Solanum lycopersicum: one gene and its partners. The protein of the gene in region 5 binds, or shares a complex with, the protein of the main gene of each other region. Links are inferred from orthologs where the notes say so. Each region holds a gene or a part of one and is shown on either strand. Other genes may lie near its edges.

Region 1 (4,223 bases), on a different chromosome or scaffold from region 5:
CTGTAATCAGATGTTCCGACAAGTTAGAGGCTATTTCATTTAAGCAGGAAGAAGTTGTGGTGGACACTGGTAAGACCTTGGCAGTAAGTGAAAGTTCAGACATCAGGAGTAAAGAGAGCTTGTTGCACAGAAAAACAGAGAATTGTATTTTTGAGTCAGCGGTTGGATTGTCAAACAGTTATAACCCAAGTTTGCGGAAATTATACCGGTCTATGCATGTACCAGTGCCCCGACCCCTTGCTTCGTTGACAGAGCTTATGAATGCTACTAAGCGTGCTAGGAGAAGGCTGTAAGTTCTGATTTTTCCTGGCATCATTTCTTCATTAATTTCTTCATTTCATTCTCCACCCTCATCGCTTTCAGATATTGATACCAAGTACAGCATTGTTTACAGAAAAAAATACAGATAACTTATACTCCATACCACCTGTTCTTCACCTTCCCTTTTTACAGGCTGCTGTACACTGAGACTTTCCAGTTACCTGCCTACTGTATATTGTGTGTACACTATAATTTTATGAAAAAATTAATGGTACATTGAGACGTACATTTCGATATTCATTTATAAACCGACTCCATTCTATTCAATATGGAAGGTATTTTGTGTTTAACTGATATCATATTTCAGTTCTATCCTTCCCAGACCCCACTTGTGGGATTACATTGGGTATGTTGCTGTTTATTTATATTTCAGTTGATCTAGAACGTCTCTTGATTGTTACTGGAAGCTGTCTTTTACCTACTGAATAGTCCAGGATTGTTATATTAAGCTTCTTAAGAATCAATTTAACGATTATTTAGTGTCAACTGAGAAGCTGATTGAGTGATCTTTAAGGAATAATAATATATTTAGCAATAAGTAAATTCTGGAGGTGTGTCCATCTCATCTCTCTTCATCTCTGATGAGCAGCGGTCAATCTGATGCTCCACTTTGATTTACTCGTCTGGCATGTACTGGTCTGTAACTGTGGACTCGCCACTATATTCTCTCGTAATCCAGCTTATCAGACTGCAAAATTTGTTATTGGTTAGGGAATGTGTGATTACGCAACAGACCACTTGCTTTTTAGCAAGGTGGAAACTGTATCATCAAATAAAGATACGATACTTGGGAGGATTGCTTAAGTTCATATAAGCAAACCACCAGTCCATTCCGGATACTTGGGAGGATTGCTTAAGTTCATATAAGCAACCCACCGGTCCATTCCCCAAACCTCCGTGCAGTTAATTGCTATGAGTTTGTCCAAAATAATTTTCACCAGAGATTCTCATTTGAAGTGCAAGGAGGTTTTTTTAATAGTGTACCATAAAAGGTACTCATGAAATGATGCAAATTGCTGCTTTAGTATTTTGAATGATTTCAAAAGGCTAATTACCTTAATTAGCATCTCTGTTGGAAGCCAAGCTGGTGCAGTTGGTATTCCGATCCATCCAATCTGCAGCATAGGTAAACTCTCAACTTTGATCTCTTTATATATTCAGTGAAATTTATGTTTCGAGGTGTGTTTTGATATAATAAATTGAATTTCGAAAAAAATATACTTACAAGTGCATATTCTCCTGTCTCGAATATACGAATATCCAATACCTAAACAGATATATGATTAGTTTATTTTATAAATAACATGTTGTTCCAAATTGTATTTTGTTATCCCTTTTGACATGATCTATAGAGAAATAAGAAAATGGTACCTCACCACGGTCTTCATATATGTAGTCCAGACCTTTGTAATAAGGTGGATGATCAACAGACAAATACTGAAGAAATTTATACAAAAATATACAGTCAAATTCCAGTGCAAGGGTGTCCACAACTTCCAATTCAGATTATTATCATCATTCATAAGCATGTAGAGGATACAATGCTGATTGGTAAAAAATTATAGTATATATATCTTTATTAAAGAAGTCCCACTAAATAGGTCTGAGAAGGTAGAGTGTACATAAACCTTATCATTACCTCGTGAAGTAGCAAAAAAAAACAAAACTCACATTGATGCTATTCAGATACTTCTCCTTTTCCACCCTGACTATCTGACCTTTCTTCACTGCCAACCAAAACAAAAAAGCTAAACTTCTATAAACAAAAAATTAGTGAAATTTGAGACATTTTCATGAAATAGTACTACTCACTAGAATAAACCGGTTTTTTAGGCTTTGTTGCGGTGGCTGTTGTACTAGAAGAAGTTGTTGTTGCTGCTGCTGCTTGAGATTTTGGCTTCTCATTATTTTCTTGTGGTTCAGATGAACTATTTTCTGCTTTAATAACAAAAGGGCTATAATTAATCCTATTTTTTCTTGTTTGTGAAAAAGATGATGAATATATGAAGGAGGTGTGTGAAAATGCAGCAGAGAAAGCCATCTCTATAGTTTTTTTTTTTTTTTTTTGGAGATATAACTAGTTTAGTTGTGGCCAATATAAGTAGATAAGGGCATGCCCTTTTTCCCCCTTCTTCAACGGCCAGATTTGAATAACAAAAATTAGTCTGCTAATAAATGGGATTACTCTATTCTCGGTTAAGGATTTCGAGTTTGAATACTGAATTTCGATGTCATTTTTGTTGAAAATTACTGTGGACGTCCGTTAGAACTTTTATCTATGGAGCCAATTGGTTGTCACGGTCAAAACGACCATTTTAAAGGTCAAACCATCTTTTTAGTGATCCAGAATTTTAACGTTATTTGCCGAAAATTAACATAGTTAAAACCTTATCTATGGGGCATATTGGCCACTACAGCTAAAAAGGACCCATTTTCAAGGTTAAACGAGTTTAGAGTAGGTAAACCCCCAATTTTGTCGAGTGTTCTGTGCTATAGTCTATGAAATTTTTGGTGAATAAGAACTCTGACGTCATATTTTCTGAATTAACATGGATGATTGTTAAGATCTTATCAATGGAGTCAGTTAGTCACCACGATCAAAACACCCCATTTTGAAGGTCAAACGATCCAGAGCAGGTAAACCCTCATTTTTTTCAATTTTTGTTTACAAGTAGGTAAAAAACAGATTTTATCGATTTTCGTATGACATAACCCATAAATTATTTTTACCCAAAAATTCAAAACAAAATGGTCGAATTTTTTCATGGACGTCCTTTAAAAACTTAGAAATAAAACTAGCTCGTCTCGTGGAGAAAAATGATGCATTTTTAAGTTCAAACGTGCCCAAAGCAGGCAAAGACATATTTTACCAATTTTTATGTGTTATATCACATGATTTTCTTTTTGATTCGGGAATATAAAAAAATGGCCAAATTCTTTTGACATCCGTTAAAACCATATAAATTGAACCAGTTCGTCCCGCAGGGAAAAATCGTGCATTTTCAAGTTCAACTGAACCCCAGAGCAAGAAATTTGATAAAATTTGTCTTTGTCTGCTTTGGAATTTGTTTAAACTTGAAAATGTGTCTTTTTTCCCCGCAGGACGAAGTGGTTCCATTTTAAGGTCTTAATGGTCGTCTATTAAATATGCGGTCATTTTGTTTTAGGATTTATGGATAAAAAATATTATGGGCTATAACACACTAAAATCGATAAAAACTACCTTTGCCTTCTTAGGGGCTCGTTTGAATTATAAAATACATCATTTTTCCCCGCGGGATGAACTCGTTTCATTCCTTAGCTCTTTACGGACGCCATGAAAAATTTTGGCCATATTGTTTGGAAATTTTTGGATTTAAAAAAATTCATGGGCTATGCACACAAAAATCGATAAGATATGTCTTTATCTATTTTAGGGTTCGTTTAAACTTGAAAATGCACAATTTTTCCATGCAGGACAAATTGATTCCATTTTAAGGTCTTAACGGACTTCCATGAGTAATTTCAGCCATTGTTTGGAAATTTCTGATGAAAAATATAACACATAAAAATTGGTAAAATTTGCCTTTGCCTTCTTTGGGGCTCGTTTGAACTTGAAAATTCACAATTTTTCTTCGCGAGAAGAACATATTCTATTTCTAAGGTCTTAACAAGTGTCTATGAAAAATTTTGATCATTTGTTTCCAAATATTCGAATAAGAAAATCCATGAGCTATAACACATGAAAATCGACAAAACCCGTCTTTACCTACTTTGGGCTCGTTTGAACTTGAAAATGCTTCATTTTTTCTCGCGGGATAAACAAGTTTCATTTCTAAGGTCTTAATAGATGTTCATGGAATATTTTGCCCATTTTATTTTGGGATTTCCGGAAAAAAAATTCATGGGTTATAACACATGAA
Region 2 (4,513 bases), on a different chromosome or scaffold from region 5:
GCAAAGTCCAGCTACGCTGAAGCATGACAACTAACTAGCAGATACATCTTTATCACAACACATAAGAAGCAACGAGTAAGAATTATTTGACAAATAATGTTGCTCAAACTAAATATTTACAAGCTCAAAAACATGGGTTTTGCTAAGGGCTGAAAACATTAAGAAAGGAAGGAAGTAAACAAGTGGTTCTTTGTTTCTAGGAATCAAGAGCAGCTAAAAATGACTACCTAATGGTCAAAATTCCAAAATGAGCATATAAACCTCTTTAATTTCATATACCCTTTTGCAATATGATAAGAGTACTATTGTAATCACAACTTCGCAGTCAGTATTTTTTTTTTTTTGAAAACAACTTTGCAGTCAGTATTCACAAAAGATATTCAGCTGATTGAGATTCCTATTCCACATACCTTTACAGTGCAAATGAAGAATTGGCTTCCGTTGGTATTAGGCCCTGCATTAGCCATGCTAACAATCCCAGGTCCGGTATGAACCACTGCAATTACACAAGGATTTTTCATCACAAAAGAACATTGAACACAATTGACAATCTGAACCAAAGGGGTCCATTGCCTTAACCACAAGGAGAAGTTTGAAACCAATTTTTAAGAAGAAAATCCAACTTACACTTGAAGTTTTCATCCTTGAAGGTACGACCATATATGCTTTTACCACCGGTTCCCTGCGAATAAAAAATTAAATCCATGGGGGGAAGATTACAATATGCCAGAATGGCAAGTGAAAATTTTCCAAATTATGAACTGCAAACACTAGAACACTCTTCAATCAATCTATGCATATTAAATATTGGAGCAGTCAAGTTGTGTGCAATAACACATTCCACTTAAACAGAATTATTGAATATGGCAGTAGTACATATTCCACTGAGCATCTTAGCTCATGTACTCTTTCACACATTCAACTACTAATCAAAGAAGACATCCCATTCAGAAACATAGAACAAGCAAAGTTACATCATGCAAGTTCATTACTTATTTTTGAAAAAAAGTTTATACCATGAAAATTGATAATTTAGAATACAGAGATCTTACGTTGCTACAAGCATCAGGGAAGTCTCACAAACACAGAACCGAAACAAACTGAAAAACAACCTTTTCTTCTCTGGTTTTCCATGGTAGAAATTGGAGCCATGGAGGATCCAAAAGATGAAGGATAAACCACCAAACAGGAACAAGAAAACACTAGGCAAAGAACTAATTCAGAATTTTGCATTTCTGTTAATTTAAAATCTTGCTCAAGGTGAAACAAGCAAAATAAAAGGCTAAAAGATAAGCACCCAAAACACACCAAGTGTACTACAGAAAATACAATGAACTGGGTGAAGGATGTGTGTGTCAAGAAGAATGCCAATTAGAGGAACAAATAGAAAAAAAAAAGAAAGAAAGAGAAAGCAAACCAGGTGTTGAGACACCTACATTTCCCTTGTCGAAATCACCCCCTTGAATCATGAAATCTTTAATAACACGGTGAAATGCAGAATCCTTGAAGCCAAAGCCCTTCTCACCTGATCGGAAGAAATCAATCCAAACTATAAGCTAAACATAAATGATAGAAAGAATTATATGCATGAAGCTCAAGCAACAAGGCAGAATATTATAGCAATAATGATAATGAGAACAAAAACTGCAATAAAGGTAGTAGTGATAGCAGCACTAGTCATAAGAATATCGACGACAATAATATTAATAACATAAAATCTATTAAAGAACCTGTGCAGAGTGCACGGAAATTTTCAGCTGTCTGTGGCACATCATCACCATATAATCCAATTACAATTCGCCCAGCAAGTTTTCCAACAGGATTCCCAATGCTAATATCAAAATAAACTTTGTTTGTCACTTTGGATTGCAAATCCGCCACCTGGATTTCAATAAATACATTCAGATCTATTAAAAACTTCAACCAAGTAATGAACAAATTATGGAACATTAGTCCCATACAAAAGGCAACATAACACCATGTTTGCTGAAAACTGAACCACAGCCATTCTAATCAATGCTCCAAGACTTAAAAATCCGCTTCCACAATTAACTTTGCTACTTAACAAAAGAAAACACTGCATTATATGACAGTCTTCTCATTTTGGGTCATATTTGACATCTCTATATTTTTATACCAATTTCACAAGTTGTAAGTATTAAAAGTCCTTGTTCCACTCACAAATATTATGAAGAACTAAAATTTCTCTTTTCACAACCTTCGATATAAACTTTTTTTCCAAAAGTTGTTCATAGTTTCTTCTAGCATCACCAATACTATATACAAACCTAATTTAACATATTCTCACATAAAATGAGACAACGAAGTAACACTCAGCCACACATGCCATCTGCAACCAATGTATTCATCTACTTATCCCTTACATTTAGCTCTAGAACTTAAACAGAAAAGTTATTCCTCACAGAAACCCTAGAACGCATATTTACTAGCTCAACGCTAGACATATTGACTCAATCATCAAATTTTCGGCGAAATCAAAGAAGAAACACACAAACAGTAGAGCAATCACTAATAAATTAGCTCAGCGAGCGAGCACAGACCTCCACCGCGGCTTGAATAGAACCAGATGAACCGCCGGTTTTTTTGTGAACCGAACGGTTTGAAGAAGTGTCCAGACGCAACGAACCACCAAATAAGCTTGACGATGAGAATGAAGATTTCAGCAACTTCGGATAAGCAGCATATGTAGGGTTCGCAACTCGTGGAACTGAAATTGAGCCTAAATTCGACTGTAAACGGAGAAACGTTAGTCAACTAAAACAACAACAACAACAACAACAACGCTCTATTTCCAAAAATTAGTGTTATTACTACAAATTAGAAGGCAACACTGAACAACAAAGCTCAACTGCAAATTATTGAGAGGTTAAAGAAACTCACCACTGAAGCAAATGTAGCTGCCATAGTTGCCGATTTCAGTTCTCCGGTACGGCGAGTTGAACTGCAATAGAGATAGAGAGAGAGAGTGTGTGTGGTTGGTGAAAATGAGGGACAAAGATGGTGTGTGACGGAGATGACGAGCCTCAACCCTCTTGTATAGACCGATTAGGTAAACATATCCATTACAAATGGTAAAAAAGTTGTTACTAGAGTATAATATTAGGAAATAGCCTAATTTTTACCATGGTTTAAAGTGCGAGATCGTTTGGTTACTGGATAAGGATTGAGTTACGTTACATAAGTTATACTATATTTGATAGCTCTTTTATGTCAAGATATAATGTTTTAACACACATAATTCTATGTTTCATTAGAAAATTAGAAAACTATTGAAGTAATACATGTATAAGTTATGAGTCAATCCATGAATTATTTTATGCGAGTTCGAGATGAAATAAGTTATACTTGAATAATTAGTACTACATGAATAAAAATATAAATTGACCACTTTACGTTTCACTCTCAATCAAATATACTCCACTTCTTTTTAAATAAACATTCAAATACTCTCTCTATATTTGTAGATCTAGAATGTGACTCTTCATCTTCCAAACAAATAAAATGAAAAAAACTTTCAATTTTGTGTTTTTTCTTTGCCATTAAAAGTTCGAAAACTCTAAACTTGACTTATTTTTTTTATTTTCTTTTTCTCCTCTTGTTTTCTCCTCTTTTAATCTGACGAGAAAGGAATGAAATTCTAGGTCTTCTCAATATATTTTTCAATGAAGTTGATGTTTGAGTACTCCCAATTTTGATGTGAGTTTTGTTTTATTTGTTCAAAAATCGTGTTTTCTAAAAAAGGATTCATTAGGTTTAGTTTCTAAAACTCCAAAAAATGAACATGTATTTGAAGTGTGACAAAATAATATTAATATTTTAGTTATTGAAGTCGAACAAAAATAAGACATTTTACCTTTGTTTTTCAATATTACTTTTTATTTTTTATAAAATTGAACATTTTAGTTTGAAATCATCTATTACCTGTGTATAATAATATTCTCCCATGATGAGCTCCACGTTGAAGCCTTCTATATATATATAATGTTATAAAGAGTACAATGTATCAAGTAGACTATGATTGTGGTAAGAGTACAAGCTTATGTAAATAAGTGTTAGGTAGTGGAGCCTGATTAATTTTAGGTTTTCCTATTTATTCTTTGTAACCAAAAATACTCTGATTTATTAATATAAATATACCTCACCGTCGTAGAAGTTTACTCACGGGGTTTTACCACGAAATATTGAGTTTTCTCTCTCTCTCTCTAGATTTCTCATCTCTTTCTCTTGAAAGTTCTTGTGTTCTTCAATCATCTAGTGTGTGTGCGTGAATCGATCCTAACAACTGGTATCAGAGCTAAGGAGATTCAACACGATCACAGAAGATGGATAGTTCGAAGCTTGGAATCAAGAAGTTTGATGGATCCGATTTCAGTTTCTGGAAGATGCAGATCGAAGATTATCTGTACCAGAAAGATTTTCACGAACCGTTGACCGGGGTGAAGCCGGAATCCATGACGGAGGAGAAGTGGAAACTCAAGGATCGTCAGGCTCT
Region 3 (3,493 bases), on a different chromosome or scaffold from region 5:
AGTTGTGACTTTTATAAAAATGTGACTTTTATGAAAGTAGCGACTTCAATGATGAGTTGCGACTTTTATGATAAGTTGTGACTTTTATTTAAAGTTACGACTTCAATGAAGAGTTGTGATTTTTATGATGAATTGCGGCTTTTATGAAAAGTTGTGACCTTAATGAAGAAATGCGACTTTTATGAAAAAAATTACGACTTTAATGAAGAGTTACGACTTTTATGAAAAGTTGTGACTTTTATAAAATGTCGTGACCTATCCGATGAGTTGCAACTTTTCTAAATAGTTGTAACTTTTCTGATAAGGCACAATAAACATTTCTCACGCTACTCTTTGTTTGTCTATAAATAGAGGGATTTTCTCTCCTTTTAAAAGAACGAAAATTCTGTCTCTCTTCTTCTTCTTTTTCACAATTAAATATTTGTGTACATTGCTCCGGTTAGTGACTCACTGCCACCATTGTTTATGTTACAGATTCTAGTATATATTTTTACAATCATTAATTTATACTTATGTTATTAAGATTAAATTATAAGATGTAATAATTTTCATTTTTTTTTACATTATCAATAGTTGTTCTTACATAATCTTGTATGTAAGATAATATAGTGTGTTAGTTTTAAAGTCTAGTAAGTTTTACATATTATTTTAAAATTTTTGTGGAAAAAAACGAATAATTTTATAATAAAGTAGGTTGAATATAGATGAGGTAAGCTTAAATATATGGAGTGGTGTAGATATAGGAAATCTCAAACAAATTTGAAGCTATTGCAATTTTGATTGGGGGTATTGATACAATGCTTAGATGATTAGGAATATGAAAACCACAGTATAAAATACCCTTTTGCCACCAATGATTAGGTAGATAACATTTGTATTGTGTATAATCCATTTGGGAAAAGTTCTCAAAACAGACAGAGAAGGTGAAAGTTTCTTATACATTGTTACAACTGCATTTTTTGCTACTCATTGTTTCAATATAGTCAACATTGTTACCTGAATTTACTGGTTTACATCTTCCATTTGTCCATTGTAATTGAACCCAACTCTTGGTTTCCCCATACTGAAGTTAAGAACTCTTGCATTCATGTTGTATTGGATTTCTCCATTATAGAGAAGTTTTCTTATGTAGTGCTCTATGTCTGAACCTATCAGGCGAAGCGTGTACTCCGTCAATGGAGCTCCCTGGTCCAGATCATAAAAAGTTATTGGAGTTAGCATTTCTATTTCTAATCCATTTGGTACAAGAGTGATTGCATGATTAAGCTTGTATTGATGAAGAGAAGTTTTCATTACCTCATAATGATCAACAAGTTCTTGGAAGTAAGAATAGACTTTGGTACAAGTATCATCAGTCCACACAAATTCATCAGTAGGGTCAAGAAGGAGTGTGAGTTTATCCATTTGTGTTTGATCGAAAGCAAAGGTTTCGGGATCAATATAAGCTGCATATATTCGAACATGTCTAGTAGCACTACTGAGCCATTGTCCTCCATGTTCTCTGGTCATGTTCTTGCTCTGCACATTTATTTGTGGTTCTACTGGCCTTGGCTTCTTCATTGCCCCCTCTTCTTGTTTTTCTTCTTCTTTCTTTTCTTCCTCTTTTTTTAGTTTTAACTCTTCAACTTCTGCTTGCTGTGCTGAAACTGAGAAGAAGTTTCTCCTTTTGAGTTGTTTATTCTTTCCCTTTGTGCTCCAACTTAACATGCTGAAATGGGTTGAAGCCATGTATGTTGAAGTTGCTGCCATGTTTCCCCCTTTCTCCTAGTGTTTTGTTATGTGTGATTTTTATGGCCTTTTCTTGAATGTTGGTATTGGGATATTAATATATCCTCCTTTTTGTGTGGATAGGAAATGTTTGCTTACATATGGCTTCTTTTTATTATCTTATATTTTTTTTGTTCTGTGGCTGTGCTTAATAAAAGGTTAATTACAAATTACTCACTTTGAGGTACTTAAATTACTTTCGTTTTTATCCCTGTTAAACCAGGTTTAAAGGTTTGGTTAATTAGTGAATCCGAGCCATGAAAGATAAGTATGCAGGGCGTTTCACTTATATAGACAAAACCAAAAAATTTAAGTTCAGAAGTTCGTATGGTGGTGGATCTATTAAAAACAATCTTTTTTATCCGTGTATTCATCACTACAAAAAAAGAATGCTTACCTGTCAAAAGTAAAATAAACATAACACCAGCTGATTGAATCTACAGGTTCATTATCACCTGTGATAAAGACTCAATAAGAGAGTTCAGATTGACTTGAAAATTGTTAAAGAACAAAAGTCAAACAGCTTCCAATAAAGACTTGTACATAGGGGATAAGATTTTCATTTCCTTTAATTCTCTCACTATAACAACAGTTTTCTTGTTCTATCTCACACAACAGATTTTGCGAAACAAAAAATATGCCTAATCCTAAGACCTATACCTAAGTAATTAACTAAAAGCCTAACAATAAAAAGAAAAAAAATTGCTCTGCACTAGCAGAACACTACATAAACCTAATTACACAACCTCATTTACAATGGTGAGGCTACTCTGATACATAGCTTGTGGTCATATCACTTGGGCTATCTATATAGGGAGATGAACCTACAGACCTATTCCTATTTATCAGACGCACGGGCTTAATAAGCTCATCGAGATCATCCAGTTGCATCTCTGCTGGACCACTCTCGCAAAGTGGCTTTTCCTCGCTTCTCTGATCAATAGTCTGTTCCTCTTCGTCACTACCATCTAGGCTAATAAAATCGACAAACTTCCCTTCAAGGAATATGTCATTATTCCCCTTGACAGAAGGCTTCTCTGATCCAGCTGTTATGCACTCAGAAATATGAATGTGCGGAGAGCCAAAGTAACGACCTCGACCATTCTTTAACTCGCTCAAAGCTTTCCTTTTCGCTCCCTTCCTTCTGTTCTTCGGATGGTGAAGCTTGCAGTTTGAACCTTTGGGACAGTTGCCAGTTGCTTCAAAAACGGGGCAGACATAGGTGTGTTTCTTCTGACACTGCATGTTTAGAAATATGACCCATTTCACAAGTTTCAAGATTAGAGTGTTGTGTGTTTGTGATGATCTACATCTATTGTAAAGAACATATTAAAATAATACTGAAATAGTTGCATTCAGAGAAAGAGGTGACATAATAGGTAAAAATACTTGGCAAAATCACCGGTTGAAAATATAGCTATATCAAGGAAGTCATTCCAAAAACAAAAAATGGCAAACAAGAAGAGGTAAGGGTCCCCACTACTTCATTCATGGGGAAGTGTGGAGACTAGCCTCATCAGTTATAACAAGTTTGGGATAGGGACAAGCTTGTCCAGGAACCAGGAATCAACCAAACATAAAACTGTGTGATAAACTAACCAAACATAAAACTGGGTGATAAACTAACTTCAGAAGACCTTCTTTGCCGATCATCCAAACACAGCTAAAAACTATTTCTACTTGGCACCATCTGGCATAAATTAGCTGTGAGCTATTAAAGAGCTTA
Region 4 (4,779 bases), on a different chromosome or scaffold from region 5:
AGGATATGGCAGCCCGGTGGACGAAGGATCTTGTGTCCACGCAAGGTGCAGGAAAGGGCCGCAGCTCAAGGGGATGTAAATAGAATAGTTATGTAATGAACATATATTCAAAAATTAACATGAGCATGCACCTCTTGAATAGAAGGGAATTCAATTCTCAAAAAGATGAACAACAAGAACATATTCAGTGTAGTCCCACAAATTGGGGTATGGGGAGGGTTGAGTGTATGTATACCTTAGCCCAACCTCAAAAGTAGAGAGGTTGTTTACTATTGACCTTCGGCAATTCTAAAAAGATGAAAAAAAAGAAAACCAAAAGATGCTATCTTTATTAAAGTACTTGTCCTGACTCTTGCATCTACAAGCTAAGAATGATGATAAAGTATGTAGCATTGACCACAGAAGGCTAAACTGAAGTAAATCCAGGTAGCTTTTGCATACAATGTTGTTTTAACCACAACGACAAGATCTCAAAGTTTCCTTATTTACAAGAGAGTTGATTGATAAACAAGAAAAAGGAAGATGAAAGGAAAATCTTACCAGTTACCACACTCTGCAATGACCCTCACATTAGGACGAAGTGTCGGGAGTAAAGCAAGAAACTGCAGCTCTGCCTTTGATAAGACCTGAACATTTTAGGTCAAACAGTTAACAAAGATCTAGTCAAAATACTGCTGATGGACTAATTAGATGATGTACACTTGAAGGGGTGGATTTAACCTTGGCTTCTATTATCCAAACCACTAATCCTTTAGCATCCGGAGGAAGTAAAGAAAGCCTATAATCAACTTCTGGAGGAAAATACCATCTAGCTATTGGTTGCTTACCAACATGAGCCTGCAACATCAAAATTTGCAGATGAGAGTCAATTAGACACTGCAAGTTAGTGTTTGAGAATAAGCATATCGTATGCGAACTGCTAAACTTACAGGGCAGACAGGGTGGAATTTGGTAAGAGTGGTTTCAGGGTCACCGAGGCCACGAGCCGAAAGGTCCAAGAAATGATATCCCTGGTACTTAAGACGTGTAAGGTAGCGTCCTTCATAGCCCCCTTCATGAGGAGAGTAAATTGCTATGGCTTTGTGTTCTTCCACATCTGATAACCATTGACCCAAATCAGGTTTAATGAGATCTCCACCTATGAAGTCCTGAAGTTCAATGTTACATCTAATTGCTCCTTTCTTTTGTCTTCCAACTGAATCAAGTCTTCTCGTTCTCACAGCCTTTGATATGCCATTTAATTGTACTCGTTGCTTCTGCAGACCATAAGACTGCACTGCCCCTTGATAACAGGCTGCATTTTGCCATTTTAATTCAGATTTCATGGTACATGACCGAAAGAACAAAGGCATCATAATGAAAAACATTGAACGTTAAGACATCACTCTCAAAATTTAATTAATGCGAACAGGATAACAGTATCATTTTGGTGCTGCAAGTGTGCATTTCCACATGTAAAAGGTAGAAAAAGTTATAAATAAGTCATTTTCCAAAGAGAACTGATAAGATTATGTTACAGGGAGAACTGAAAGGGTGCCTACTGTAAGCAACCTGTGAAACTCGAGAACCAGAAGTCAGTTTTTACCATTGTCAACAATGGCTAGAAACATTGCCAATGCACTGCTTAATGTGACAGTGCATAACAGTAAGCACAAACATTTTCAGCTTTATAGACCAATATTAGGGAAAGTCTGGATTTCATACCATGTAAAACAATAACAATCGGGAACAAATGTGAGTTGGAGCTGAATCTCTACTCACCCAAAAAACAAAACTTCAAAACATAATTAAGTAAATGTACACTTTCACTACCTACCCCACTAATATTTACATATAACAAGCTGGAATCACCCATTATGATATCAAGTCTTGATCTTTTTAGTTCTTTAACCATCACCCTAATTTTGTAACAACACATAATAGCAACTAAGCATACGTCTTCACACACACGCACACCGTGATATTGAACTATAAATCTGAAAATTGGGAACAAATGCGAGTAGAAGCTGAATCTCTACACACCCAAACCATAGCTTAAAAACAGAATTAAGTAAAGTGTACATATCACTCCCTACTCAACTAAATATTCACATTTAACAAGATTGAATAGTCCATTAAGTTAAGTCTTGATCTTTTCAGTTCTTTAACCATCCCCCTAATATCAAGATATTATAACAACACATAATAGCAACTAAACGTTATACATCTTCACACACACACACACACACACCATGATATTGAACCATAAAGCTGAAAATTGGGAACAAATGTGAGTTGAAGCTGAATTTGTACACAACTTCAAAACATTATTAAGTAAAATGCATACTTCCACTCCCTACATAACTTAATATTTACATTTAACAAGCTTGAATCAACCATTAAGTTATCAAGTCCGTAAAGATATTGTCATCCGGACCTAACTCAATCGCAAAACCATACACCCTCCTTCACGCTTAGGCCCCTTGAGAGCGAGAACCAAAAGCTCACACCGGGAATGAACCTGGTACTCATACCATGTAAAATTAAGTTTTAGGCCTATCTAAACTACCTCAAAGGTAGGAGGTGCTCAAGCCTTAACCACCAATATGAACCCCTTTTTTTTAAAAAAAAATAAAAATTAACACCCCACCTCACACAGATGCAATATTATTACAAAGTCTTGATCTTTTCACTTTTTTAGTGATCACCCTAATATCAAGATATTGTAACAACCCATAATATCAATTAAGCATTATAAATCTTCACACTGCGCACACACACAGAGAAAGGGGTTATTGGGGATGACCTGAAGAGGAACAGGGTTGGTCTTCAGTGGAAATATTGGGGCGCCGCCGGCAAGAAGACCCATTGCTAGTAATCAAGAACCTCCTAGTGCTGCTGCTGCTGCTGGTGGTGCTAGGGAAGGTGTAGGAGAGAGTTGTCATTTGGGTATTTTGGTGGCAGTGTGTGAGTGGTGGCAGTAGGCAGCTATAGCAACAGAGACTGTGGAAGGACCATTGCAAACTTGGACAAAGATGACTACTTTGTTCCTTGCCACTCAATAAATGTGCTGATAAACTTTACAATAAAGAAATTACAAATAACAAATATTTAAATATGCATAATAATATTAGCTATATAAATTTATGGGATAAGTTCTATATTTTAAAAATTGAAATGATGTTTTGGGGAGAATTTAAAATTTGAGATAACATAATCTCAAATTAGTTATTCAAATTTTAATTTTATATTGTATATTCAAACATAGCTAGAATAATAATCATAAGGTGAGAGTTCAAACTCTATTGTAACTTTTTTAATGAAATAATTTTGTGATTTAGAAAAGAACAAAAGCCAAACTTAAACCTAATTTATATATTTTGGATTGAAAATCCAAAATCCAAGTAAAGATTATGAAATTTCCAAACATCCTATTTAATTGCATAAGTTGTCCTTCAAATAAATTAATTTTTATTCTTTTATATTTTGAATTTTTAAAATAAAACAAAGTTAAGTATTCATTGTAAAATTCATAAGGAGTAAGAACGTTCACCACAGATAAAATATGAATTGTGATACGACCATTAACATCTAAAAAAGACAATGTTTCACAATAATTACTAGTAAAACTTTTGAAACACATAACAGAACTCCAAAAATAATTGGAGCACATATATCTCCTTCCTTTAACTAGAACACGTACTATGGTGCTTTGATTCCTGCATCATATTTTGAAAATAAATTTATACCTTATAAGACATAAGTTGTTTAAGATAACAAAATATAACCAACACTCAATATATAATGATTTTAAAATATAAATTACCAGTGAAAATATTATTTATATAGTATTAAAACATAAAAACTAAAACCAGCTCTGTTGTAAGAGGGAAAATAAAAAAGACAAACTTTAGGGCTTTTTATATAGTAATCTCCCTATCGAAACCTCAAAGATTTCCCATTTCTGCAAAACCCAAATGGAATCCAAAGAGGACGAAGCCTCCCAAAGCGGAGCAAACCCATGGAAATTCAGTCCATTTCAAGCAAAGATTTAGTTTTGTTAAGGCTTCCGGTGAAATCCCTTTTACAATTCAGGTCTGTGTCGAAATCTTGGCTTTCCTTAATCTCTATCCCTAAATTTGTGAAGACGCATCTCTTATTTTGTGCTAGTAACAAGGAGTTATGTTTAAGGTTGCTATTTATGTTGGCTAGTTATGTGTAGTGATTTACATCGCCATTCTGTAAAGGAGGTAATTGACTTGGATTATCCAGGTAAAATTTCCAAAGACTATCCTTGGCTGGTGGGTTCGGTAAACAGATTGATTTGTGTTGCCTATGTAACAAATTGCATGACTTGTTTATATGGAATCCGTCAATTAGAAAGTATAGCAAGTTGCCTAGTTATAGACTTAATCGATGTGGTGGATATCAAGTGGAGGAACCTGGGGATAGCAGATTTGGTTTTGCGTTGATGTGCTTCAAGATGATTACAACGTAGTGGGAGTTTGCCCTGTTTACAGAAATATGCGTCTATGTCGTGTTGAGGTCCAGATATATTGTCTAAGGAGTTTATGGGAGGCGTATTAACGGAGTTTAAAGATAGATTTTTTTTCCATTTTCGGGGTAAGCTTGTGTAAGGGAAACTTCATTGGATTGAAATGGGCATGAACATTTCTTCTATTGATTTGTGTGATGAGAAATGTGTAGAGATAGAAAAGCGCTGCAATTTTAACTTTAATGATTATGGTCATTTCTTACTAGGAGTGCTTAAAAGTGATCTTTCTGTGTTCTGTAATTACA
Region 5 (4,704 bases):
ATTTAGATTTTTTTAAGTTTGTGTTTTTCTTAGAAACATGAAAATCGCAAATTGTGAAAACTATCATATTTCTTTATATTTATACAATCTTGCAAAACTTTATAGATATCAGAATGTCCTAAAGTGTCACATTGATAAATAACATATCTCCATATTCCTTTTCTGTTGAGAAAAAAGAACGAATATATATATTTCCGCTTCTATTAATTACAATTGAGAAGAAAATGGAACTAGTAACAATTACAGGAATACTTAATTACTATATGTAAGAGAACTGGAGGATGTATAATATTTAGAAGATTGCTAGGGGCATGGTGAAAATTTGAACAGCACTCTTCACAGCTTCAACATCAATATCAACCAATTTTCCAGTATTTGATGAAATAGTTGCACATTTCTTTGCTTCTGCATTGGGAACAAAACTTCTGGCCTTATCCTCAGAGCAGAATAGCCCAATACTGTACAGACAAAACCAAGATATATCAACCTCCCCACAAAGACAGCAGAAGGTGCAAAAAATTTCCGCGTCTACAGCTTGTAGTAGATGACATTACCTTGGTTTTCCACGTGCGTGAGCAAGTTGTATCGCAGCTGTATTTGTAGCTATCACTCCAGCAGAGTCATCAACAAGAGCAGCAAGCTAAGGCAGAGAAATATGCAGGGACTGTTAGTTTTCTAGTGCTCATCCCGCGGTATATAGACTATAGTTAAAGCTGCCACTAAACATGCAACAGAAGCAAACTACTTTCATTTGATTATACCCTCCTTGAATATGACTGTAAATTGTTGCCATTATATCTGTGACTCCAACCAATTTCTTCTTTTATGGTTGTTCAACTAAACACTGGTTGATCATCGGTCATTGATATTGTGAAAGTGGTTGAGAAAACAAACCTGTCCAGGGGTGGTTATGAACACTATACTAGCATCGTAACCAACTGCATCTTCCACATTTTCTCTTTCTTTTTCGTGTGGAATGACAAAAACTGGCTTGACTCCCCTGATCAAATGATAGTTTACAAACCATTAGTATAGCTCACAAATTTTCTTGCATTTGATGAAAAAAGGCTAATCAGCTAATTCGAGAACTAAAAATGACCATGTAGTCGAGTCGGCCCTTTTTCCGACAGAGAATAAAATACTGACATTATACCTTATCTCCTCTGCTATCTCAGCCCAAATCTCAATAGGGAGCAAGCTATCAATATCACCCCTTGACTGCATAGAAGCTTTTGAATCTGATTTAATCCCATGAATCACAATATATTTGCCTTTCTGTGCACCAACATTCTTATATTTTGCCTCTACAACCTCCCTAACCTTTCTTGAGATTGAAACTTTAAGTGGGGGTAAAGGTTGTCGAGGTACTTTACGAGCTGGTCTGCCCAACCAATCAACCATCTGACGGTACCTATTTCAAAAAAGTGTATGTAAACATGTTTATACAAACTTTGACGAAGTACAACTGTTGCACTTTTCAAACTCCCTATTTTGAAATGAATATTCAGTAGTCAAAAAGATCAAGTTATCAGTTGGAACATCTACTTACATATGATATCCGCCCTCGGAGAGGTTCATGCTTTCTGGTGTAAAAGTTTCTGACAGAAACAATCCTGCTCCTGCAGAATTCACATTTGGGTAAATGTAGCTAACTCTGTCACGAGCAGTCGACATAAACAAAAATACTGCATGTCCAATCCCTGCCAGTTTGGTTGACAAGATCATATCATAGTACCTACTCTGCAACAAACCATGCATTAAAGCAAATAACTTAGCCCAAAAAATGACTATAACTCTCTATTCATAATGCAGGAAGCAAATTCTTTTATCTCTATCTGACTAAACAAGACGAACAGCATCTTGAAGCTAATCTAAGCGATTCTTTTTCCAAACGTAGTCTGCTCAACTTTTGAATTATCTGCAAACTCATAAGATAACCATAGTTAAATCTTCGTATTTAACTAAGTTTCCATATAATGTTTGTTACTTTCTCTAATTTTAGGTGCTAATACATCAAGGCACGACAAGAATCATACTTCAAATGAAACAACTTGCTTAAACCTATGTTGCTCGTAGATTAATGTGTGTCGGATACTTCCAAAAGTAATGCACTTTAAAATCAACATTTTTGAAGAGTCCAAGCAACGTAGAATTTAAATAATTATGAATCGATGTTAATGTTAATGGAACGGCATGAAACCTTAAGAATTCCAAGCATATCCGTATACTCAGCTGGTTCAGGAAAATCATCATCCAGATCATAGGCATTAGCCCACCTCACATTTTTATTCATCTCAAATGTCTGTTTTCCCCTGGCTGTTGCAAGTATATCCACTTGAACACCAGGGTACCTATCCTTAATCATCTGAATTACTGGAAAGAACAGCAAATTCTCATAAACCCCACCATCAATAACACAACAACATCTCCGAACATCACCTCTAATTTTCAAACCCAACGAAGCAATCTCAACAGAGTATCCCATTGGGAATTTGAGAAATCCATATGGGTTATCAGGATTATCAGGTGGCCTTGGATCTTCATCTTGTTTCCCTTCAGAAAAAAGTGAACCATATTCCATTTCAGGATCATCACCATAGTCAAAAGGGTCAAGCCATGGATTTTTTTTCTTGGCATTGAGGCAAAAATTCCCTGATTTTCTGGCGGGAAAAGATGGATTGTGGTTCAAGAAAGGTACATTTGTGACATGGGTTACAGGAAAATTAGGTGGATTAGCAAAGAAAGGAGAAATGGAGTTAGATAGTAGAGTAGTAGAGGCAGCCATTTGAGTGTTATCATAAAATTCTGCAACTTTTTTTGGGGATAGCTAAAAACTATAGCAGAAGGTGACGTTGGATTTCAATGTGTGAAGGTAGTGAGATAAGTAGGTCCCCATTGTTGTCACTATGTTCCTGCCTCGTCATTAGCGATTTTTTGTCTCAATTTATGTCTATCATTTGTATTTTATATTAAATTAAATAATATCATATAAATTATGACGAATGAAAAAGTATTTTTTGTTTTTGTTTTCAATCGAGTGTATGGTAGCCATATTGATAATCTAACTAATTTAAATTGCATAAATTTGATTTTAAAGAGAAAATAATTTTTACTAGAATTTCTTTCGTATTCTGAATCAATATTTTAAAAAGTGAGGTGATTTATATCGTATAGGGCGAGGAGTAAATCCCTGAACACGGGGCGTAAGCCCCATGGGTCTACTAGGCTTAGTCTCATGTATATTTAATATTATAATTTTATTACTAATAAAATAAATAAAAATAAATCTTTCAATGATTATAATTCTTATTTGCAATAAATATTAATAATCAATAATGAAGAAAAATATATTATAATTACTATTTGAAAAATATTATTACACCAATAGTAAAAATATAATTTAAAGTAAAAAAAGTTTTAAATAATAAATTAAAACGTCACTATATACGTTTTACGCCCAGAACTTACGTTTTTTATGCTCAAGACTTACACCTTATGAATTTACTTCTTTCATTTACGCCCTGGAGCATTTTCGATATGGCCCTCCCTGAAACTCGCCCCAAAACGTTTTCAAAAACATCGCCCTGAATTAGCTTTTTGAATTGAGTTAGGTTTAATATATATATATATATATATATATATATTACATATTGATATTCCTTAGCTTTTACATAATTTTATTTTTTTAGATTTTGACACCCCTTAGATAAAATTTTAGCTCCATTACTGTCTGAGACGGAGAAATCCTATCTATGTTGTCAGAATCGTGAGTTATACTACTTGTGTTAATTAAAATACAAAGTGCTAGCAAATAACAAATTATGTATATTGTTGTTCCATCATAGGGAGAATCAAGTACAGTTATCCTAAAAACGATTGCTTAATATGCAATCAAGAAGAAAAAAAGATGCATGAAAAAGGAAAGGAACTTCACAAAATTGTGTAACAATTAAGTCAAAAAAGTAAAGATTATAAACAGAGTCAATTAATGAGATCAAAAGGAAAAAACAAAATATTATTATATATAGAAAAAGAGATAATGAGATCATAAAAGAGAAAAAAAAAGTAAATTCTTAGGCTTTGTTTTATTCACTAAACTAGCTTTGATATGTCACTAATATTTTGACTTATAAGGTAACCTCTTTTATAAAACAGGCTACACTTTTTCTTTTCCTTTCCTTTTTATGATCTTTATCAAAATATGTGAAGATGTTCATGAAACAAAAATTGTACTTGAAAATTCATTTATTAATCTAAAATAATAATAATCTAGAAAACAATTGATAAAATCAAACGTACTAAAAAATAATAAATGAAACTTTAAATTTCTAAATTTTGCTTAAAAATAAATAGATGTAGATTCCACTCCATAATCAAGTACCCATCACAAATTGAAAAGCTATCTTCAATCTAGAGGATTTATATTCCATAATCAATTTGCACAGTAATAGATGAACAATAATTAAGCTCTATAATTAGATTCTTGCTTATCCTGAATTAAATTGTGTTTTAAGTTGGCAATTTCCCTTTTCCCATTTATTTTTTTATTTCCAAATTTGGTCCAATTACGTGGGTGTTTTCAATTATTAAAGAAGACATTTTTAGGGTTAGTAGGTAACATATCCTTTTTTATTCTAAATTTAGTCAAATAAAATTTATATTATTCCAAAGTACATTTCAAAAAAAGTAATAATTTGCCCTTCA
Region 6 (4,456 bases), on a different chromosome or scaffold from region 5:
TAAATTATGTATTTAAAGTGTAAGAACTAATAAGGTTATAACCAATAGTTGGTAGTTAAGTAATTCGTGTTCATTTCTTATTTTTTGAGTGCCTATTACTAAACCGATCGTTAAGGTCATTCATTTGATTTCCATTGGTTTTACTATCGATGAATCAAGATCTGCTATGTATTTGGAAAGACGAAGATATTGGTGGTGGACATGCTAACGATATCGAAAGCAACGTCTGAAATTTAGATTGTTGATCTTTATTATATTATGATGCAAGGAATAGTCAAAATATAAATGAAAATAAGTATTTTCTTTTTCCAAGGAATAATTTTTTGTTAAAATTTTGAATTGAAAAAATGAAATTACACGTTTCACAACTTTTTTTTGGATAGATTTTGACCTACTCCATAAACTTGTTCTTTATTTTATTTCTCATTGTTAATCAAAAAGTCAACCTATTCATTATTTTACTTTCTAGTATTCTAATTTCTCATGTTTGATTCTTATGTTCAAGTAGAACTTTGTGCCTAATCCAAAAAACCATTTAGGACCATAACCATTGTTATTAGTATATTATCAATTGACCTAATATAATAAATCAATGATCATAAAGTGTGTTTGCAAAACATTAAAAAAGAAAAAAAAGATAGGACAAAGAATGTTGAAGTTTTTATCGGGAACAACCTCTCAATTCCATAAAGTTAAAAGTGACGTATGCATACATACTACCCTTCTCAAATGGATTGCAACGTGTCGTGTGCTGTTTTAATATCGCGATTTCTCGTATATAATGATACATTTTCTCGAGAAAAAATACATTTTCAAAATACATGTTAGGAAGAAAGTAGAGCAGGTAAAAAGTGTAGCAAGTTAATGCAAGACTTAACTACTTTATGGAATATCATGAACCAGAAAGTTGTACATTTCATTGATTAAATAAGCAAAAGCAACAACTAATTATGTGTCATCAAAACCTAATACTATTTGTAACTCTGTTACATGATTTGGTTCACTTGTTAGTATAAATTCGCATCACACTTGACATACAAATCATAACAACAAAATTTCATTCTAGTTTCAAAGTTTGAGCTAAAAGGAAAAAATGAAGGCAGTATCAATTGAAACTGGAGAGGGATCAAAGGCCAAAAGAGTTCATGGAGTGAACAGAGGAATCTCTGTATTTGATCTTGTTTTACGTATCGTTGCACTTGTTGGAACCTTAGCAAGTGCTGTGGCAATGGGTACTGCAGATCAAGCACTTCCATTCAGTACACAGATTGTAAATTTTGAAGCTCAGTATGATGATATCGACTCGTTCAAGTAAGCAAAACTGCAAACATATTATTACATGAAATAGAACAGTATAAAGGTTAACTAACACATTTTTTTGTTTTGCTTATTCTGATTGAAGGTTCTTCGTGGTTTCGAATTCTATAGTTTGTGTATATCTTGCACTTTCTATCACTATTTCAATCTTTCACATTATCAGAAGTAGAGCAGGAAAGAGCAGAGTTTTGCTCATTGTTCTAGACGCGGTAATACATTAGATTTCTGCTAAAGTTTTCATATTTAGTACTTTGTTATGATGTTGTACTGATATCTTTTATACTTTGCGAAAACTTTTGAAGATAATGCTGGTTTTCCTCACATCTGGAGCATCAGCAGCAGCCGCGATTGTGTATTTGGCACACAATGGCAACACTTCAACTAACTGGTTTTCGATATGCCAACAGTATACAGATTTCTGTCAACGTTCTGCTGGATCCCTTATCGGTTCTTTTGGTGCAATGGCCTTGATGGTTATACTTATAATTTTGTCATCTATCGCTTTATCAAGGCGCTGAAGATGTTGGCTACACTAGCAATTGCTAGCCTTTGTGTGTGTATTGTGTTTGTAAATGTTAGTTTCATCAGTTGCATTTCATTGTATCAAGATTTTCATCAGTTGTATCACATAATGAAAAGATTTCCTCCTTACTTCAATGTTTTCATCTTCAAATATCACGTTTATTCAACTAATAGTTATTCTCTCATAAACTCGTATGTAATCTTGATTCCAATTTCATCAACTCGCAGACCAAGCTTATAAATGAACATAAAATTGTATATAATTTCAACGTTTTTCGATCAGTTTATTTGTTAAACCAACGCGATTTTTCTGCTACAACATTCACTCACCTTTGAGCCTGATGATATTATTATGCAAGTAATCCCACCAATTCATCAATTGATTTCAACGTCTTCTCATAGAATACACGAGATTCATATACCTTTGGTGTTCGAATGTAGTAATCAAACTGCAGACGAAGAAAATACATAGAAATATCCATAACACTGAATAGAACCTCGAAAAATTCTGAACAGGGAAAATAAGGACAGTTAGTTACCTCAGCCATGTTATCAGTAAGCTCATTGACAGTTTTAATATAAGACTCTTTTCGACTTTCAGGCACCCTGGATAAGGCATTCTTCACGTCCTGTTTAAGATAAGCTGATTTAAGTCGTATATAAAACAATACATACCTCCATGAGTTAGTCTCCAACATCTCTTTAATACTATGTAGTCCATCTGCTGTTTGACGAATTCGTGCTACTGCATCTTCAGGGGACAATCCAGGCTCAAAGAAATGTTCTCTTAAGAATGATCGAACGCCCCAATTTTCAGCTAATGCTAAAGGGGTGAATTGTAGGCCTAGTGTCAATGGAGTGACTAGAAAAGTCGCGATGAGTTTGCGTCTACATGAGAAGTTTTGTTCATTAGTTGATAAGTTAGATTGGATTTTGGGTAGTGTCTTGCATTGTGTGTGATGAGTTTTGGTTATTTTGGTTTTTGGATGGAACAAAGTTGTAGGATTTGTGAAAGTGGTCATTTTTGTGTTGAAAAAAAAAATCTAAGGAGTGTTTGATGGTTTTTGTGTGTGTTTTGGATGGATATTAATTGATTTCCCTAAATCCAAAATGGACCTTAGGTTTTGGTGACTTGGCAAATATTTTATCCTCTTTTTTTCCCAATAAATTTTGGTGTTGTTGGGTCAATGGTGTAAGAGGCTTTGTTCTAGTTGGCCCAATTTTGGAATTTGTTTAACTTAGGGTTGGCCTTGTTCAATTTGAAACTAGTTTTACTTGGTTCGCATTTTTTCGGAATCAATCAAGACTGAACACTAGTAGCCCTATTTCATTGACGGGTTGGGATCAATCTTCTATCAATCGAACAAATTTCTTATGTTTTTCCCTTGAGGCATTCAATTCTCGTATCAAAACAAATTTGAGTTCAACATTGAGATTAGACACTAAAAACCATTTAAATTATGCTGAATTTTTCAACTATACACTCCTGAAATAAGTTATCACCGTCATAGAGCAGAGTAATGGTATCAGGATTAGTTATCCCAAAATAAAATAATGAAACTGACAGAAACACCCTTGAAGTCTATGATGTTATTTTTCTACACTACAACAAAAATAATTTTTGGCGGCATTAAATATTGACATTGATAAAGAGTGCGAAAGTCTTTACCGGCATTAGTTAAGTATCATTAGAACCAATGTTGCTAAATATTTTATGGACATATACAAAGAGTGTCAATTGCCGCTAAAAATACATATTTAACGACAATTAATGATTATTTTTGTTATAATGACTGGAGAGTATTTTTGTGAACAAATTATATCTTCTTTAAAATTATGAAATACATGTTATTTAGTTTTTGATATAACAAATCAAATCATCAATAAATTATCTTCATAAATAAAGAGATATAAAGCAATTTAGGCAAAAATAATACATTATTGATTGTGCATGAATAATTGCTTTACAGCTAAAATATCTAATGTCTCTAGCTCCCACATAGTTGGACTAATAATAATTGCTTTACAAATTAAAGCAACACCTTTAATTTACAAAAAATAATAGATGAGAAATGAATGGATTGGGATGATAAAATTATATAAACGAATTATAACTTAACTGAAAAAAAGAAATAATTAGAATTCTTTTGTAATCCCTATTAGTATAAGGGTCGTTAATAGTTTGTTTGATTAAATATTTTAAATACAAAAAATACTTGATCAAACTTTAAGCGAAAAAATAAGTACTTATAAATTAGTAATAATGCTACTCGTTGAATTATGACATGCGTAAAAATACATCTTGAAAATATTAGTGAAATATAAATTACTAATAAAAATACTTTTCAATAATTTAGTTAAACACAAACTGAATCAAAGTACTTTTTTCAAAATTATTGGATAAGATGCACTTATCAAATTATAGCTGATCTGAATAAGTATCTTCGTCAAACACGCTATTAAAAGACTCCTAAAAAGCATAAAACCTAACGTAAACATATCAACTTACAAGCATCGAATGAGTGGTTTAGTAGTCAATAAAGTGATTGAGAATCTTAAGATCTTAGGTTTAAAATTCAGCATAGACCAGAAATATTAGAGTGATTCTTTCCATCTG
Region 7 (4,136 bases), on a different chromosome or scaffold from region 5:
TGCATAACTGCAATACAAATGACATTGAGAAATGCATATGACAATGAGAAATGTACTAATGCATATGGCACTAACTCCAATAGATTAATGTAGTTACTCCCATATTCTGTCAATGAATATCCACAAACGTATGTATAAATGAAACAATGAAACGGTCAATATGACAATGTGAATATGCAAATTTCTTTTAATATTAAAATGCCTCTACACTAACATAATTAGTGATTACCTCTCGTCTTCGATTCCAACACTCTTCTTGAGTGACTTCTTAATTATTTTATTAAATTTAGTAACTTTTGAGTTATCAAATAAAGTTGAGTGATTTTCTATGTAAATCATTTTAAATTGAGTAAATTTGTAAGTGAGTTATTCAAAATTGAGTGATTATTATCTCTCAGTTTTATCAAAGGAGCAGGTTCTCTTTATCAGTTTTCCCTGTAATGTTTTAACAACATCTTCAATTCTTTCTGGAGATCTATCAAAGACATGGTTCCTACGTATCACTATTTTTTGTACACAAATTGCCACTTGTACAATGTTTATCAGTCAATAAAAAACTATGCAGTCTTGAATGTAAATTCAGAGATGATATCTTTTGTAGCTTTAAGCCAAAATTCTTTCCAATCTCCTCAACCAGGGAGGGAACATATTGGCCATTATTATTATTTTTTAATTTTATTTTTGAAGACAACGGGATTTCACAGTCACTATTCTTTGGGTGCGCACAAGGTAATTTTTTCGCTCTTATGCAATAGCTCACTACTTGCAAGCCTGCTGCAATGAGTTCGACCCAAAAGGCAAACTTCTTGCTTTCGCTGGCAGGGGGTTTCAAACATGCAAGTCCCAAGGTCAAACTACTGATCCAACCCAAAGGGTTAACAATTTGGCTATTATTGAAGTAATTTTTGATTTCGTGATGTGTATGCCATGAATCTTGTTAAAAGAGCATTGCATGACTTGCTAGTAGCAAATACAAAAAGAGAACTGATTCTGTACAGTGCAAATGTTGACATTGTGACAGTTCATTAAGACAACATTTTGAAGGGGAAATCTGAGTTTTGCAACATAACACTGAATTAAGGCAAAACAGCCATGTTGTATAGAACTGGAAATCATATATTGTATATACATAACTGGGAAGCATCATAAAATTTGTTCTTAGCACATATAAAGATGATCATTTGACCAACTGTTCCTTCTTCCCAGCTTCTTCAAGCTCTCGAAGACTCCCAACCTTTTGTTCAATCTCCTCTATCAGTTCATCACGCCACAGCTCTGCTCTCGCTTCTTCTTCGATGTCTTCTTGCTGCACAATCACAAAATCAGATTTGTAGTATCATTCACTACACAAATATCATGGCATTCCACCTTGTAAAGATATCTATATATCTTGAATAGGACATTTAGGTGCCAAAATTCATGTTGAAACAAATTCAGACAATTCGAAACTAGCTAGTATGATTTTGACATTTATATGCATAAAATTATTTCAGTAAAGTTTTATTTTAGAAACGAGAGATGTTCTTTTAATGGAAAAAACATTCACATCAAGAATTCAGGATTTAGACTACAATTAACTCTTTAAAAACCTTTTTTTCACCTGTCAAAGCTAAAACTCGCATGTGAGGTATAAACTATGATAATCCATGTTTTATCCGTGTGTTTGGTTGGAGGTATTAAGCAGTTCTGAGATTATTTATGATAAGTTATCACATTTACATGATCAAATAATTAATTCGTATAATTAATCCTAATATAACTTGTTCCCAACCAAACGACATATTAACTGAAACCTATAAACATTTCTCTGTCGCGAACAAGAAAGGGTATTTTTCCCTTTTGATTTTCTAACCTTGATAGAAAACGGAAAAGAAAAACTGTACCTTCTCATAGACCCAATGTCCAGTACCATCACCTCCATCTCCTCTGTATTGTTCTGAATCATAGTAAGGATCCTAAAAGAAAAAAGACACATAATAATGAGATACAACTCAATTTTATGAAGTTTAATTTCAAAAATTTTACTTTGGTAGAACCGAAGAAACAGCATCCCCAAACAGTGAACATGATGTAAAATGTATCTACAATGGAGAAAAAATTAGGTGTGAGAATTTTGAATTAGAATGATAAAAATGAATTAGTAAGTAATGATTACTCACAGACATTCTTCATGGCTTCATCACTAAGATGCCAAACAGATTTATGAGTTATGAGGTCTCTTTGACCTTCCATATGCTCAACTAATACTGCCATTAATGGCCAATCTGGGAGTGCCTTCACCCTATTTCTTTCAATCTAATCATAGAAATCCACAGCATTAATTATGCTTTTGCAAACCATACTTGTTCAAATCAATAATAACATGTAAAACCTACCTGGTGCCTCCTGCCTGCATTATTTCCAAAAGGTGAGGTTGGACAATGCCTTAGCTGCTGAGAAAGTGAAAAGAGGTAATTAGTTAAGCAGAATTAATTATAAAAAGATTGAATTTGAGATACAAGTAATGGTTTTAACTGATTTACTGAAAGGGTGCAGCAATTCCGATGTAGGACTAGGAATAGAGGGTTTGATGAATGTGAAGCTCATGATTTGAGTTTGGGATAGTTATTTTTGGGTTCCTCTATTCCTTTTATCCGAGTTATAAGGTTAGGAAAACACATAAGAAAAACACACGGTTCATCTATTCCCTTTATCCGAGTTATAAGGTTAAGAAAACACATAAGAAAAACACACTCTTCTGCTTACTCACAACTATTATTTTCTCAAACAATTTTGGTTTTGTCTTATTCTTCCTTTACCACACATCATACGCATCTTGGATATTGGAATTTAAATCATTGGGATATTTGCTACACTCAATACTTATTTAGCATAAAACTTATTAGAAACATTTATAATTAATGTAGGTGTAAATTACAAAAAATTATATATTATTTTATGTATCATAGAAGATATAACTAAAATATAAATAAGTAATACATAAAAAATGTATTTTCATTACTAATGTTAACATAAAATTATAACTAAAAAGAATTAAAAATATAGAAAAGGGTCTAAAATACCTTCGAAATATTGAAAATGGTACACAATTACCCTCCATCCATCTATTGGCCCCCAAATACCCTTCACACCCACCCTTGGGTCTAAATTTACCCATTCATTAACAAACCAAAATTAAAAATAATTAAATAATAATTTTTAATTACGTGGCACTCAACCATTGATTGTAATTTAATTATTTAAAATAATTTTAAACCCACCTATTTTAACTAAATCCGCCCACTTGACCCAATTTTAAAAATAACCATCTAATTAAAATATGCTAAAACCTTATTCCTCCCATTTTCACAATTTTCATGACTCCATTGTCTTTTCTTCTTCATGAAGAAATTTCCAGCTTCTTCTTCGATTTCTTGCCCTGAAGAACTTCAAAAGGATAATAAAATCCATCACTCCCCCCCCCCCCCTCACCCCCACTTTTTTTTTTTCAACACACACACATCACCTTCCTCTTTTTTCTTTGCAGATCAAGAAACCAGAGCAACTTATAAATAAAAAGTATTATCACTAACTAAAGTCTCCTAATTGCTTAACATCCATCTCTATCTTTCATTATCTTTCCTCTTATTCTACTCACTCTTCACCTTAATTCTTAAAACATTTTCCTAAGATTAAACCATTGAACTAGCTGAATTAAATCAAACAGTAATGCCATTACTGTTTGATTTAATTCAGCTAGTTCAATGGTTTAATCTTAGGAAAATTCAGCTAGTTCAATACCATTTTAATTTTGTGACATTTCTTAAGCATTTGAATTGATCTGGCAAATTGTGTTATCTTTCAAGGAAGATCGAAACGGGATGATGGTAGATGGGCGTGGCAAGATACCCTTCATCGTGATAGTCGTTCCAGTAGTAGCAGCAGGCGTTATGAGCCTTCACCATTGCCAAAGTTTCTTGGTGCTTCACCTGATTCTCGACTCGTTTTCCCATGGCTCGGCGATCATACTCCTCATTCTGCTGGTATGGTGTCTGTGAATTCTAACACTGGCGTTGTTTCGTAAAAATATGGTCATCAGTAAGATCTTCAAGTTTCAGATATGGTGCAAAATCCAGTTTGATTATGTCTTCTACAGG

What was found.
Region 1: photosynthetic NDH subunit of subcomplex B 1, chloroplastic (region 5) and NAD(P)H-quinone oxidoreductase subunit O, chloroplastic share a complex: the UniProt entries of both Arabidopsis thaliana proteins name them as parts of the chloroplast NDH complex. The link is inferred for Solanum lycopersicum from reciprocal best matches to the Arabidopsis thaliana genes PnsB1 and NdhO.
Region 2: photosynthetic NDH subunit of subcomplex B 1, chloroplastic (region 5) and photosynthetic NDH subunit of lumenal location 5, chloroplastic share a complex: the UniProt entries of both Arabidopsis thaliana proteins name them as parts of the chloroplast NDH complex. The link is inferred for Solanum lycopersicum from reciprocal best matches to the Arabidopsis thaliana genes PnsB1 and Pnsl5.
Region 3: photosynthetic NDH subunit of subcomplex B 1, chloroplastic (region 5) and ORR share a complex: the UniProt entries of both Arabidopsis thaliana proteins name them as parts of the chloroplast NDH complex. The link is inferred for Solanum lycopersicum from reciprocal best matches to the Arabidopsis thaliana genes PnsB1 and NdhM.
Region 4: photosynthetic NDH subunit of subcomplex B 1, chloroplastic (region 5) and NAD(P)H-quinone oxidoreductase subunit N, chloroplastic share a complex: the UniProt entries of both Arabidopsis thaliana proteins name them as parts of the chloroplast NDH complex. The link is inferred for Solanum lycopersicum from reciprocal best matches to the Arabidopsis thaliana genes PnsB1 and NdhN.
Region 6: photosynthetic NDH subunit of subcomplex B 1, chloroplastic (region 5) and photosynthetic NDH subunit of lumenal location 2, chloroplastic share a complex: the UniProt entries of both Arabidopsis thaliana proteins name them as parts of the chloroplast NDH complex. The link is inferred for Solanum lycopersicum from reciprocal best matches to the Arabidopsis thaliana genes PnsB1 and PnsL2.
Region 7: photosynthetic NDH subunit of subcomplex B 1, chloroplastic (region 5) and photosynthetic NDH subunit of subcomplex B 4, chloroplastic share a complex: the UniProt entries of both Arabidopsis thaliana proteins name them as parts of the chloroplast NDH complex. The link is inferred for Solanum lycopersicum from reciprocal best matches to the Arabidopsis thaliana genes PnsB1 and PnsB4.

The regions. Positions count from the first base shown.
Region 1 is NC_090810.1:1,415,062-1,419,284, forward strand, and holds NAD(P)H-quinone oxidoreductase subunit O, chloroplastic, read right to left. Parts: upstream 2,460-4,223; 5' UTR 2,363-2,459; coding exon 2,134-2,362; intron 2,070-2,133; coding exon 1,993-2,069; coding exon of another isoform or gene 1,961-1,992; intron 1,759-1,960; coding exon 1,693-1,758; intron 1,589-1,692; coding exon 1,547-1,588; intron 1,437-1,546; coding exon 1,377-1,436; intron 1,010-1,376; coding exon 980-1,009; 3' UTR 734-979; downstream 1-733. Other genes in the region: uncharacterized protein, read left to right, coding at 1-293. UniProt on the Arabidopsis thaliana protein: NDH shuttles electrons from NAD(P)H:plastoquinone, via FMN and iron-sulfur (Fe-S) centers, to quinones in the photosynthetic chain and possibly in a chloroplast respiratory chain.
Region 2 is NC_090800.1:5,016,507-5,021,019, reverse strand, and holds the start of photosynthetic NDH subunit of lumenal location 5, chloroplastic, read right to left. Parts: upstream 3,201-4,513; 5' UTR 2,926-3,200; coding exon 2,902-2,925; intron 2,751-2,901; coding exon 2,562-2,750; intron 1,882-2,561; coding exon 1,731-1,881; intron 1,526-1,730; coding exon 1,437-1,525; intron 683-1,436; coding exon 628-682; intron 497-627; coding exon 411-496; intron 1-410. UniProt on the Arabidopsis thaliana protein: NDH shuttles electrons from NAD(P)H:plastoquinone, via FMN and iron-sulfur (Fe-S) centers, to quinones in the photosynthetic chain and possibly in a chloroplast respiratory chain.
Region 3 is NC_090803.1:56,432,054-56,435,546, forward strand, and holds ORR (NAD(P)H-quinone oxidoreductase subunit M, chloroplastic), read right to left. Parts: upstream 1,860-3,493; 5' UTR 1,750-1,859; coding exon 1,297-1,749; intron 1,186-1,296; coding exon 1,003-1,185; 3' UTR 843-1,002; downstream 1-842. Other genes in the region: uncharacterized protein At1g21580, read right to left, coding at 2,533-3,006. UniProt on the Arabidopsis thaliana protein: NDH shuttles electrons from NAD(P)H:plastoquinone, via FMN and iron-sulfur (Fe-S) centers, to quinones in the photosynthetic chain and possibly in a chloroplast respiratory chain.
Region 4 is NC_090808.1:66,282,093-66,286,871, reverse strand, and holds the start of NAD(P)H-quinone oxidoreductase subunit N, chloroplastic, read right to left. Parts: upstream 3,195-4,779; 5' UTR 2,925-3,194; coding exon 2,786-2,924; intron 1,295-2,785; coding exon 930-1,294; intron 838-929; coding exon 721-837; intron 627-720; coding exon 541-626; intron 1-540. UniProt on the Arabidopsis thaliana protein: NDH shuttles electrons from NAD(P)H:plastoquinone, via FMN and iron-sulfur (Fe-S) centers, to quinones in the photosynthetic chain and possibly in a chloroplast respiratory chain.
Region 5 is NC_090802.1:62,985,590-62,990,293, forward strand, and holds photosynthetic NDH subunit of subcomplex B 1, chloroplastic, read right to left. Parts: upstream 2,910-4,704; 5' UTR 2,786-2,909; coding exon 2,201-2,785; intron 1,741-2,200; coding exon 1,550-1,740; intron 1,412-1,549; coding exon 1,154-1,411; intron 1,001-1,153; coding exon 895-1,000; intron 641-894; coding exon 555-640; intron 459-554; coding exon 293-458; 3' UTR 159-292; downstream 1-158. UniProt on the Arabidopsis thaliana protein: NDH shuttles electrons from NAD(P)H:plastoquinone, via FMN and iron-sulfur (Fe-S) centers, to quinones in the photosynthetic chain and possibly in a chloroplast respiratory chain.
Region 6 is NC_090804.1:2,507,621-2,512,076, reverse strand, and holds photosynthetic NDH subunit of lumenal location 2, chloroplastic, read right to left. Parts: upstream 2,903-4,456; 5' UTR 2,862-2,902; coding exon 2,379-2,861; intron 2,289-2,378; coding exon 2,190-2,288; 3' UTR 2,170-2,189; exon of another isoform or gene 2,075-2,169; intron 1,975-2,074; exon of another isoform or gene 1,836-1,974; coding exon of another isoform or gene 1,620-1,835; intron 1,527-1,619; coding exon of another isoform or gene 1,403-1,526; intron 1,312-1,402; coding exon of another isoform or gene 1,094-1,311; 3' UTR 898-1,093; downstream 1-897. Other genes in the region: casparian strip membrane protein 2, read left to right, coding at 1,094-1,311, 1,403-1,526, 1,620-1,835. UniProt on the Arabidopsis thaliana protein: NDH shuttles electrons from NAD(P)H:plastoquinone, via FMN and iron-sulfur (Fe-S) centers, to quinones in the photosynthetic chain and possibly in a chloroplast respiratory chain.
Region 7 is NC_090811.1:46,150,933-46,155,068, forward strand, and holds photosynthetic NDH subunit of subcomplex B 4, chloroplastic, read right to left. Parts: upstream 2,802-4,136; 5' UTR 2,587-2,801; coding exon 2,515-2,586; intron 2,433-2,514; coding exon 2,376-2,432; intron 2,296-2,375; coding exon 2,160-2,295; intron 2,082-2,159; coding exon 2,026-2,081; intron 1,956-2,025; coding exon 1,884-1,955; intron 1,307-1,883; coding exon 1,178-1,306; 3' UTR 1,057-1,177; downstream 1-1,056. UniProt on the Arabidopsis thaliana protein: NDH shuttles electrons from NAD(P)H:plastoquinone, via FMN and iron-sulfur (Fe-S) centers, to quinones in the photosynthetic chain and possibly in a chloroplast respiratory chain.